Danio rerio: one gene and its partners. The protein of the gene in region 1 purifies or fractionates together with the protein of each later gene. This does not show direct contact. Links are inferred from orthologs where the notes say so. Each region holds a gene or a part of one and is shown in the gene's direction. Other genes may lie near its edges.

Region 1 (3,994 bases):
TACCAAATAAAGTGGATCTGTATGGATTTGCATTGTAAACATGAAATTAAAGTTTAAAGGGATTAGTTTTAGTTCATATATTAGGGTTTTAGTCATGATACTCCTAAAATAATTACACATAAATCCGCAGATTTTGAACACAATTTTGTGCAGAAAAAGCAAAACCGTGTGCAGATTCCGCCTGGGCAGCTCATGGGCATATACACGCTACATATATGAGTAAAATGTGCGTTTCATGTCAAATACGAAGCGAAGCTCGAGACAAATGTAGACTCTGGAAAACATTTTCCCGCGATAAGACGCAACTACAGAGGAGAAACCATCTTCCCAAGGAGAAACACAAGAACAAGAACAATGTTTAATCGCAGCAGGTCAAACCGTGACTCTATAGATATTTCCCGGTGTGTGGAGCGTTCCCTCTGCGTGTGCCTGTAAGTGTGTTTGGGCACTGCTAACAGTGTTTTGGGTCTTGTTCTTGTGTTTCTCCTTGGGGAGATGGTTTCTCCTCTGTAGTTGCGTCTTATCGTGGGAAAATGTTTTCCAGAGTCTACCTTTGTCTCGAGCTTCGTAAGTGTTTCAGTCTGTGTTGTTGTTTTGCACCACCGTACATCCCCCTAACCCAAACCCCCCAACAGCATGCCCTCACCACCAATACCCCAACTCTAACATGCGCGCGCGGTGTGTGTCCTGCAGGTGGCGACGCAGGAGGAGTTCTTCACCCTGTCTCACTGTCAGCTGGTGACCCTGATCAGCCGGGACGAGCTGAACGTGCGCTGCGAGTCGGAGGTGTTCCACGCGTGTGTGGCGTGGGTTCAGTACGACCGTGAGGAGCGGCGTCCGTATGTGCAGGCGCTGCTGCAGGCCGTCCGCTGCCACTCGCTCACGCCGCACTTCCTGCAGCGGCAGCTGGAGCACTTCGAGTGGGACGCGCAGAGCAAAGACTACCTGTCACAGATCTTCCGGGACCTGACGCTGCACAAGCCCACCAAGGTCATCCCCCTGCGCACGCCCAAGGTGCCGCAGCTGATCTACACGGTGGGCGGATACTTCCGGCAGTCGCTCAGCTTCCTGGAGGCCTTCAACCCCTGCAGCGGCGCGTGGCTGCGGCTGGCGGACCTGCAGGTGCCCCGCAGCGGGCTGGCGGCCTGCGTCATCAGCGGCCTGCTGTACGCCGTGGGTGGACGCAACAACGGGCCCGACGGGAACATGGACTCACACACGCTGGACTGCTACAACCCCATGAACAACTGCTGGCGGCCCTGCGCACACATGAGCGTCCCGCGCAACCGCATCGGCGTCGGCGTCATCGACGGCATGATCTACGCCGTGGGCGGATCACACGGCTGCACACACCACAACAGCGTGGAGAGGTGAGGAGGAGCACACACACACACACACACACACACTATATCAGACTGTTCTGCATCGCATCGTCTTAAAAGTGTGCACTTTATTACTGAAGACACACTGCATACTTATGAGTGTGTGACAGAGGAGTGTGACTGAACAGTGTGTGTGTACACATTCCACTTCCTCATTAATGGACTGCTCTGTTGCTTAGTTACGAGCCCTGTCAATCATCAAATTAAATCAAAGTCCTTTCAGTGTGTGTGTGTGTGTGTGTGTGTGTGTGTGTGTGTGTGTGTGTTGGACAGGTGTGTATGGGCTAGTCAGATTCTTCCTGACAGTAATCGGCCAGTGCAGGTCTGTAGGGGTGTGTGTGTGTGTGTTCACTCTCTGTGTGTGTGTGTGTGTGTGTGTGAGGTATGACCCGGAGCGGGACAGCTGGCAGCTGGTGTCGCCAATGCTGACGCGGCGGATCGGAGTGGGCGTGGCCGTGATCAACCGGCTGCTGTATGCGGTGGGCGGCTTCGATGGGACGCACCGGCTGAGCTCCGCGGAATGCTACAACCCCGAGCGGGACGAGTGGAGGAGCATAGCGGCCATGAACACAGTCCGCAGCGGCGCAGGTGACACACACACACACACACACACACACACACACACAGTTTGTGGACCCACAGCTCTGCCTGACCCGCTCAGTCCTGACGGTTAAAGGTCACCCAGAGCCCATGTGTGTAACGAGAGTCCTGGTGTGTGTGTGTGTGTGTTCAGGTGTGTGTGCGCTGGGGAACTACATCTATGTGATGGGTGGATATGACGGCACCAACCAGCTGAACACGGTGGAGCGCTACGATGTGGAGAAGGACAGCTGGAGCTTCAGCGCATCCATGCGGCACCGGCGCAGCGCTCTGGGGGTCACCACACACCACGGACGCATCTATGTGCTGGGTACGACACACACACACACACACACACACACACACACACACTCTCTCTATCTCTGCCCTCATGAGGAGAAAACTCCGGCTGTAGATATTTACTGAAAGTGCTGTGTAAGAAGCCTATAATGGTGTGTGTGTGTGTGTGTGTGTGTGTGTGTGCGCGCAGGTGGCTATGATGGGAACACGTTCCTGGACAGTGTGGAGTGTTTTGACCCAGAGACGGACTCATGGACAGAGGTCACACACATGAAGTCGGGCCGCAGCGGAGTCGGAGTCGCCGTCACCATGGAGCCCTGTCACAAAGAGCTGATCCCCTGTCAGTGCTAGCGGCGGCGCGTGTGTGTGTGTTAACACACACACACACAGATGAGCAGAATGTCTGTCATCTCCACACACACTCCTGTGGATCCACTTTATCCTGATCCCAGAACAGTGCCACCATCAGCACGACAGTATGTCTGAGTGTGTGCTACAGGAGTGACGGCTGGCCAAACACACACACACACACACACTTGTATATGTGGTTTTTGAGGACTTTCCACAGGCAGGACGTCCTCTGTACTGTAAGCAGTGTGTCCCCCCACACACACACCTCATTACAGTACCCCTACTGTAATTACACTGTCATTATACAGTTCAGTGTCCTCCTAAAGCACATCAACACACACACACACACACACACACACACACACACACGTGCGCCGCTGTCAGTATATTGAGGTGTTTTGTATTCCTCTTTAGCTCTGGGACGGTACGAGATGAGACGCCGCTCAGTTCCTCAGATTCATACGAGCCGCACAGATCTCTCTCTCTCTCTCTCTCTCTCTCTCTCTCTCTCAGTCTCTCTCTCTCTCTCTCCCTCTCTCTCTCAGTCTCTCTCTCTCAGTCTGTGTTAGCCGTGGAGCCCGGCGCTGGTTCTGCTGCAATCAAAGTTGATGATCCAATATTGTATTTGTAAGCCCAGTTGAAGCTGTTTTTCCAGGGGTTTTGTACATGGGTACTGCATGAAGTCTGATTCTCTGTAATTTATTGAGACGCCGCCGTGCCGCTCCTCCGCCTGCGGCTCGTTTTTACTCTGCTTCTGTTTGATGAGGGATGCAGATTTCATTTAATCCTCCACAATTAAGCATCACAGATGATTTACAGTCTGCTTTGTATATTTTACAGCAACAAACATTGTATATTAAAGGTGTGTGTTGGTTGTTGGAGAGTGTGTGTGTGTGTATGTGTGGTTTGACCGAGTGGTGGCGCCAAAACACAGAATGTATGCACACAGTGTGTATCCAGCAGACTCCCTGCCTCCAGCTTTGACACACAGTTCAGGAGAAAATACATGTATTAATCCCACTAAAGGGCTTTAATGTCAGCTAAATGTGTCAATGTGAGTATCTGCAGACTCCAGACCTGCAGAACGGTCAGCAGCAGGTACCTGCGCGGTGGAGAGTGTGTATTGCTGCATAGTGCCAAATATACACACCCATAAGAGTGTGTTGGACAAGATGTTGTGCTCCAGGGACACACACTTTCATCTACATGGTTTAAGAGCTTGAGCAGGTCTTCTGTAGGGTGGAGTGAGGGAGAGAATGCTGCTGGGTCAGAATAAAAACAACAGAAGTCTATGAAGAGTCCCCACAATTCACAGAAACCTGATATGAGTGCGCGAGGGTGTGTGTGAGAGAATGTTTGAGAGAGAGTGTGTGTGTGTGAGT
Region 2 (4,219 bases), on another chromosome or scaffold:
ACCGCAACAGATTTATTCAAGTATGTTACGGTTAAAATTATATTTATAATTACTGTAGTATTTTTCTTGTGGGTAATAATAAATGCTGTATAATTCTTTTGAAGTACGTTAAGCCTACAGTACAGTTGTTTATATTAGCTAACTATAGTGGTTGTGTGTTACCATAGCAACTAGAGTTACCACAACAGATTAATTCAAATCAAAAACATAATATTTACTATATAATTACTGTAGTATCTTTTATGTAGGTAATAATAAATGTGGTATAATTCTTCATAAAGTATGCCTACAGTACAGTTGTTTATATTAGCATACTATTGTTGTCGTGTTACTATAGCAACTTCATAGTTACCACAACAAATTAAAGTAGGCTACTTTACGGTTTAAAATTATATTCACTGTGACTGTATAATTACAGAAGTATTCTTCATGTACGTAATAATAAATCCTGTATAATTCTTCAGTATGCTTAACCTACAGTACAGTAGTGTTGTATACAATACAGAAGAAAACTAGTACAGTGGTTTATATTAGCCTACTATAGTTGTTGTGTTACCATAGTAACTACAGAGTTACCGCAACAGATTTATTCAAGTACGTTACGGTTAAAAACATATTTATAATTACTGTTGTATTTTTCATGTGGGTATAATAATTGCCGTATAATTCTTTGTGAAGTATGTTAAGCCTAGTTGTTTATATTAGCCTACTATAATAACTGTAGTATCTTTCACGTAGGTAATGCTGTATATAGCATATAGCATACAGTACAGAAGAAAACTAGTAGTTGTTTACCCTACTATTGTTGTTGTGTGTTACTAGTAAGTATAGTTGCAACAACAGACTTATTCAACTACTGTACAGTTAAAAAACATAAGATTTACTATATAATTACAGTAGTAGCTAATATTCTTCGTGTAGGTAAGGATACATGTCCTATAATTCTTCAGTACAGTACAGTCTTGTATACAGTACAGTAGAAAGCTAGTACAGTTGTTTATATTAGCCTACCATAGTTATTGTGTTATGATATTAACTACAGAGTTACTACAACATATTTATTGAAGTACTTTACGGTTCAAAAACATTATATTTATAACTACTGCGTATCTTTCATGTAGTTAATAATAAATGCTGTATATTTCATGACGTATGTTTACCCAGTACAGTTGTTTACATTAGCCAAATATAGTAGTTGTGTTACCATAGCAACTACCCCAACAGGTTAATTCAAATAAAAAACATAATATTTATTATATAATTACTGTAGTATCTTTAATCTCGGTAATAATAAATGTAAAATTCTTCGTGAAGTATTTTTAGTATGCAGTATGTACAGTACAGTAGGCTATTGAAAATACGGAAGTCTGTTTTTGAGTCTGCGCTTCTACGGTACTTACGGGGGAAAGTTTCAGGAAGTAGAGAAACTCAACGCTCTTCTGCTTTCAAACACAATCACAAACCTCTTTACAGTCTGATTTACCGAACAAATCCGTTAAATGTGTAAAAGTCGCGGGAATAATCAGCTGTGAGACGGAGAAAAGTGTATTTTGGAGGTCAGATCCAGTCTTACAGCAGCAGGTAAAATCACTTCACATTCACGACACGATGAGTTCCAGTAAACACGAAGAGTGTTATCGCACATAAACAATCTTAAACATATGTAACGTTACTTTACTTACTTAGGTAGAGTTATTTTGTAATTCAGCAGCTGTATGAAGCTTTAAGATAATCAGATTGTGTGTACAAATATCAAACACGAGCCGGTTATTAAAAACGAAAGTGATTCATTCATCAAAGTTAAATAATATTTAATAAAATCGCAGCTTTTAAGTTGTCCAAATGAGTATGTAATCTTAATTGTATAATTTGTATATCTAAGTACACTTAAAATAGACCCAAATACATAATATAGCTAATACAATAACATTCTAATTAATTACAGTTACTAAACTATAACAATATAACACAGTTACTAAATAATAATAATTATTAATCTATAAACTCTTATTGTGTGACTCTTATTTTGTCATTTATATCCACATACACCCAGAATAGAAACCAAATGCATAATATATTCAATACAATAACATTTTACTTAATTACATAGGTACTAATAACAATGAATCTATTAACTAAAGAAAACAATCATTATAATTTTTAATAATAACTATTGTATTCAACATTTAACAGCTGTATGAAACTTTAAACTAATAGATTTTTGTTCAAAGAAAAAGTGAATGAATACACTACATTTTTAATCAATTACGTAGTTACTAAATACTAATAATTACAACATAATATTTTGTAAACAAGAATGATCCTATTTTAATAAGTATTGTAATTCAGCAGCTGTATGTAAATTTGTCCCGATTTTGTGTACAAAAAATGCACAGGTCATAAAAAAGCCATTCATTTATCAAAGCTGCATAATACACATATTTATCACTGTTTTAAAAGTGTTTGTTATTTTAAATCAGTCTTTAGTCATCTGAACGACGATGCGGGCTCTTATTTTGTCATTTGTACATCTAAATACTCTTTAAATACACTCATAATAGAACCAGATACATAATAATAAACATTCTATAAATGCTGGGTTGTCTTAACATGTTTGGTCATTTATAGACAGAAGTGGTAATGGATTGATTTTATCAATTCAATTTAAATGAGACCTTTCCATTTTTGTCTATATTTAACCCAGCATTGGGTTGAAACTCATTCAGTGCACCAATACAACAGCGTTCTAATTAATCATGTAGTTACTAAATGCATTTTAATTTAACAAACTAAAGAAAACAATTATAGGTTAAATAATTATATTATATATAATTTATAATTATAGTTTTAATAATAATACTAATTATAAAATCCAGAAAATAAAAGTAAATAATAATAATTATACTAAAAGTAAAAATATTAATAGCAATAATACTTTTATTGTTCTAATAAAACATTGTAGTTCGTTATTTTTCAGACAAGAGCTTCAAGATATATAATTTGTCCTTATACCTTGGGTCAAATATAGACAAATCTAACTGTTGGGTTAAAATATTTAATTTAATTTAATTTAAGAGATTAACCCATTGGTTGGGTTTGTCCATATTTGACCCAGTATCAGGTTAAAACAACCCATTTGTTTTTTGGGGGACCAACGCAATAACATTATAATTATTATAATATAGATAAGTATTGATTATTAACATTATAATGGTTACCGAATATATTTTAATTAAAATAAACTAAAGAAAACAATAATTACAATATTTAAATAATACAATAATTTAAGTTTTGATTATTAACATTATAATGGTTACTGAATATATTTTAATTAAAATAAACTAAAGAAAACAATAATTGCAATATTTAAATAATACAATAATTTAAGTTTTGATTATTAACATTATAATGGTTACTGAATATATTTTAATTAAAATAAACTAAAGAAAACAATAATTGCAATATTTAAATAATACAATAATTCTAAAACAATAATAAAAAATAATATAATACAATAATATTCATTGTACTAATAGTAATAATAATAATAATTTTATTGACCTAATCAAACATTATTTTTTAGACGAGAGCTTCCAGAGATATAATGTCTTCATACATTTTAAAAACGTTGGGTCAAATATGGACAAATTCAACTGTTGGGTTAATTTTTTTTAATTTTTCATTTAGTTGAAAAAAATAACCTAGTGGTTGGGTTTGTCCATTTTGACCCAGCATTGGGTTAAAACAATACATTTGTTTTTTGGTGGGACCAATACAATAACACTCTAATTAATTAATAACATTCTAATTAATTACGCATAGCTACTAAATACATTTTAATTAAAAAAAACTAGACACAACAATAATTGCAATATTTTTAAAATAATGATTCTAAAATCATAAAAAAATATTAATATTAATAAAAAATATATTAATTGTACTAATTGTAATAGGAATAATATTTTTTTGTCCTAATTAAACATTCATTTTTATACAAGAGCTTACAGAGATATCATTTGTCTTCATACATTCTAAAAATCATTGTGTAAAATATGCACAAAACCAACTATTGGGTTAAAAAATGTTTCATAAATTTACCCAGTGGTTGAGTCGATCCATATTTGACCCAGCATTGAGTTAAAAACAACTATTTTTTTTTTGTTTTTGTTTTTTAGAGTTAACCAAAACAATAACATTCTAAATAATTTATAACATTGTA
Region 3 (4,215 bases), on another chromosome or scaffold:
GTTTATTTAACACTTACTTATATGAATACTTTATTTTAAAATAATTATCCAGCTGCTATTTATTTATTTTTGCAAATTTAACAAGTTATTATTAAATTGTATGTATTAGCCTTATTCTTAATACAATGTTAGGCTTATTTTAATACAAAAGTATTAATTACTTTTATTTATTGATATATATGTTTTATTTAAGCCTTTTCTCTGAACATTTCACTGAATGGGTCCCCCGGACCTTATTTTGAAAAGCCCTGATTTAGGGTAAAGTCTAGATAGAAATAGGATACACTGCTGGCTAGAAGTGCGATATGCACATCAATATAGCAGCAATTTTAATGACACTGTATAACAATAATTAATATTTTTACATTACTGTTTACAGGTTTAGAGTTAGGGTAGGGGTTGATGTTTTGTTATAAATGCCATAATGTTGTACATTCAAGTCTATCTTTACAAAAACCAATTTGCGTGTTGTATTATTCTGTAATGTGCTATATAAATCTGATATCAACTAATTGTAATGATCAGAAATTAATCATATATTTACTCTGTTTTCTCCACAGACAAGGACTATTTCCTGATCGTCATTCAAAATCCCACAGAGTAGTCCTTCTAAGTACTTCTGAAGTATTTTTTTTTCTGTAATTACAGGCCAAAAGTGTTTCATTTAATGTTTCAGTGAGGTTTATATAGTACTATTAACCACATAACATTACAGGAAGTTGCTTCTTATCCTATTATAAAAATATGGTTTGTACTGCTCTTGCTTATCATTCCAATAGTTTGCCATATACTTAATTTATTGTTTTCTCATTCTCATTTTTGCAAGTACTCCAAACTGTTCATCATCAAAAAGCAAAAACATGACACTATTACATACTGTACTTGTTTGTGAATGCTAACAGGACAATAAAACAACAATGTATTTCCTTTTATTACTTTTTGTGGCTGTGTGTATTCATATTGAATGGAAAAGGTGCTTTGTTTTTTGCCATAATATAAATTTAGTTTAGGTTTATATAGAGAATTGAAAATGATTTCATGTTTAAAATAATTCTTGTAAATGGCTGCAAAAACCTGTTTGAATTTAAATTGATCGCAAAAGAAGAAAATATTTTTTAGAAATGTTGAAAACTCTTGACTTAATTTTGCATTTTTCCCCACTACAATGGATATCAATGGTTACCGGATTCCAACATTCTTCAAAATATCTTCTATTTCATTTAATAGGAAATATTAACCCATAATAGTCTAAAACCAGTTGAGGTTAAGCAAATGCTGAGTAAATGTTTAGTTTTGGTTAAACTATTCATTTAAAGAGGACTCTGTCTCTTTAAATCTGATGACGTCACGAGCTTTAGTATATTGTCTCGAGCTGTTTTGCTTACAGTGAGTCAGGAGCTCGAAAAGAAGCCGAGTCGACCGACAATTCAGCATATAATAACACGCAAACCCTTTAAACTACTTTTAACCACATTCAAGCACAGTTATGCCATCCGACAGACCCTTCAAACAACGACGGAGCTTCGGTAAGATGAGTTTTATTCGTGCCTTGTCAGCCGAAGTGTATTTGTTTATCAGGTTTGTTTTTGTCCCTAGCCTGCTAGCAACTGCGTGACACACTGTTTACATTCCTCTACAAAGCTCTAAATGCTTATGAGACGATTATAGAAATAAATATTAAAGTCTAAATGACAGTTTTTAACAAAAACCGACAGAGGTCAGTTGCTAAACAGTAAGCTAGCTTGGGCTTTTTTATAGGCCTTGTGTTTAAATTTTATCAGCTTTATTTTTTTTACAACTGTTGTGTTTGTAAATACGTATATAACCTTATATTTAACTTTTTACTTAGAAACATAGATGAATGACATATAGTTACAGATATGTAGCTAGATAAATGTGTTGTTTACCAGCTTTGTGAAAATGTGAGATCAACATTTCTTTTTTTTGACAGTAGTGTTTTTCTGTTACATTTGGTGTAAATGATGCATTTATATATTTAGAATATTTATTGTTTGACAATAACATTGAAGGAAAGGATGGACTGTACACGTGCTGTTGATATGATGCTGTAATATGAGCTCTTTCTCATAGTCCAGACTGTGGACAGGGTGTGGGGAGGGAGGAGCATAAAACCCTTGCATAATCTTCCTAAACATAACAAGTGCAACATAGATTTGCTGTTTCAAACACATCTGTAAGAGTCCGGGTCAATATGATCTGCATACAGTCTTATATTTGTCCAGCCTTTGGGATTATACAATTGACACGGATGACCCAGACATGACATCAGTAAAAATGACACACAAGTTAGGAAGCTTACCCTGATAAGCAAGCTGGATTTTTTTTAGTTTTACTTTGAAATATACTTGCAGTGGTAGCCAGAATGAAACACAAGTTACCCACATCATCACTTAAATAGATATTGATTTTCGACAAACAAAACATAAGTTAATTTTTACAATTTTATTTATTATGACATTGTTATACAGTTTCTTTTCAATGGCTTAAAGTAAAAAGACTGTTGAAAAAAATCCACTATTTCTCTTACTTTTATACTATTCAGGAGCCATTTGCACCCTCTGACAGGTAAAATCTGCTTCTTTCACTCCAAGTTCAAAGCAAACTCGAATGCCAAAGCATTTTAGAAATGTATAGAAAATAGCCTATGTAATATATTAACATAAATTAATAAAATAATCAGCAGATGAGAAATAAATGATAGAAAAGGAATAAAAACAGACAATGTCTCTAAAAATGCAAATCTTGTAAATTTTAATTACAAGATTAAAACGTGTAGTTTATTTAAATAATGCAAATGCGTTGATTAACCATTGTTGAGCTTTCAGAGTGATAACAAAAGATATTAAACCTTTTAACAGAAATTAATGTTTGTTTGTCTGTTATACTGTACATTATGGTGGAATAGGTTTGTAGAGTAGGGCATGTCAAACAACACATCCGCAATTATTTTTCCTCAAGTTTTTAGGAATGTTTATTGAGCGTTTCTGCTAAACAGGTTTGACATAAGCAAATTCAGCAAATGCTAATGCAGTGATTACAGTGTTTTCAGGAATGAGTCTTGAAAATATACTTACTGTGTATTTTGAATTTGGACTGTAAAATGTATATTATTCAGAAGTGTACCAAATTTCTGTTTGTTTTTTGTCTTTTCAGCTGATCGTTGCAAGGAAGTGCAGCAGATACGAGAGCAGCATCCTAATAAAATTCCGGTGAGAAACTAGTTTTGTTTTATGCAAGTGTCATAAATGAATTTAGACTTATTGCTTTAGCCTTATTGCTTTCAAGATGTCACTTACCTGTCAGCTCCGGATTTCTTTTAAGATCCTGAAATTTATTACTCTAAAACAATGGGCTTCAACTTCTATGAGGGCCTTGGGGTGACTTAGAATTATTGAAAAAGAAAAGATGAAGCTAAAGCAGTTAGAAATACTGCATTTATTTAACAAAGCATCAATCATTTTAAAGTGTGATTTCTAGACCTTGGAAATATAAAAATAAGTAATATTAAAATACATTGTTCTATGTATCCACAGCTCTAAACCATTATATGAATATATCAAAATATATTAGGAAATAATCTTAATTTTTTATTGTAATCTTTATCTTTAGTGAAATATATTAGGAAATATATTTCAAAGACAAGACATTCCATTCTGTCATCTGCATCAAATTCAGTATAAGTGATTTTTATATACAGTTCTCTCCCCAGTTTGAAAATTTTTGGAGGCGAAATTTTTTTCCCCATTTCTCGGTGCATATGGATAATATATATTGGTGCATTTGATCAAAACCGATAATTAAACAGATATTTTTATTAAAAATAATATTTCAGTCACAGAACATATTTAGAAATGAAAAGATAATATATTTAAATTAATGCAAAATATTGCAAAAAAAAATTACAAACTACAACATTTCAACAAAATTGTATATATTTTTTGTAAAAGTTCCTAAGGCTCCTATGGCTTCAGTACTGAATAAACTAATGTATATGCACAAATAAAATATTGTACAGTATCCTATAGAAAATATTAATTGAAATCAGACATTTGTGGGGGGTGTACTCGTATATGCTGAGCACTGTACATAAAAAGCATAGTAACTTTCTACTTTAATGTTCTACTTTAACATTTTGACATTATATGCTAAATGATTAGAAAATATTGATCTATAATCATTTAGCATATAATGTAA

The links.
Region 2: the proteins of keap1b (region 1) and ikbkb purify together in Homo sapiens (affinity purification with western blotting; 7 studies listed by BioGRID and IntAct, with this or other methods). This does not show direct contact. The link is inferred for Danio rerio from reciprocal best matches to the Homo sapiens genes KEAP1 and IKBKB.
Region 3: the proteins of keap1b (region 1) and map1lc3a purify together in Homo sapiens (affinity purification with mass spectrometry; 3 studies listed by BioGRID and IntAct, with this or other methods). This does not show direct contact. The link is inferred for Danio rerio from reciprocal best matches to the Homo sapiens genes KEAP1 and MAP1LC3A.

Annotation. Positions count from the first base shown.
Region 1 is NC_133181.1:199,206-203,199, reverse strand, and holds the end of keap1b (kelch-like ECH-associated protein 1B), read left to right. Parts: intron 1-693; coding exon 694-1,370; intron 1,371-1,764; coding exon 1,765-1,970; intron 1,971-2,115; coding exon 2,116-2,292; intron 2,293-2,451; coding exon 2,452-2,612; 3' UTR 2,613-3,493; downstream 3,494-3,994. UniProt on the Homo sapiens protein: Substrate-specific adapter of a BCR (BTB-CUL3-RBX1) E3 ubiquitin ligase complex that regulates the response to oxidative stress by targeting NFE2L2/NRF2 for ubiquitination.
Region 2 is NC_133183.1:3,547,130-3,551,348, forward strand, and holds the start of ikbkb (inhibitor of nuclear factor kappa-B kinase subunit beta), read left to right. Parts: upstream 1-1,409; 5' UTR 1,410-1,581; intron 1,582-4,219.
Region 3 is NC_133186.1:28,686,150-28,690,364, forward strand, and holds the start of map1lc3a (microtubule-associated proteins 1A/1B light chain 3A), read left to right. Parts: upstream 1-1,405; 5' UTR 1,406-1,486; coding exon 1,487-1,526; intron 1,527-3,174; coding exon 3,175-3,230; intron 3,231-4,215. Other genes in the region: dynlrb1 (dynein light chain roadblock-type 1), read left to right, coding at 561-604. UniProt on the Homo sapiens protein: Ubiquitin-like modifier involved in formation of autophagosomal vacuoles (autophagosomes). While LC3s are involved in elongation of the phagophore membrane, the GABARAP/GATE-16 subfamily is essential for a later stage in autophagosome maturation.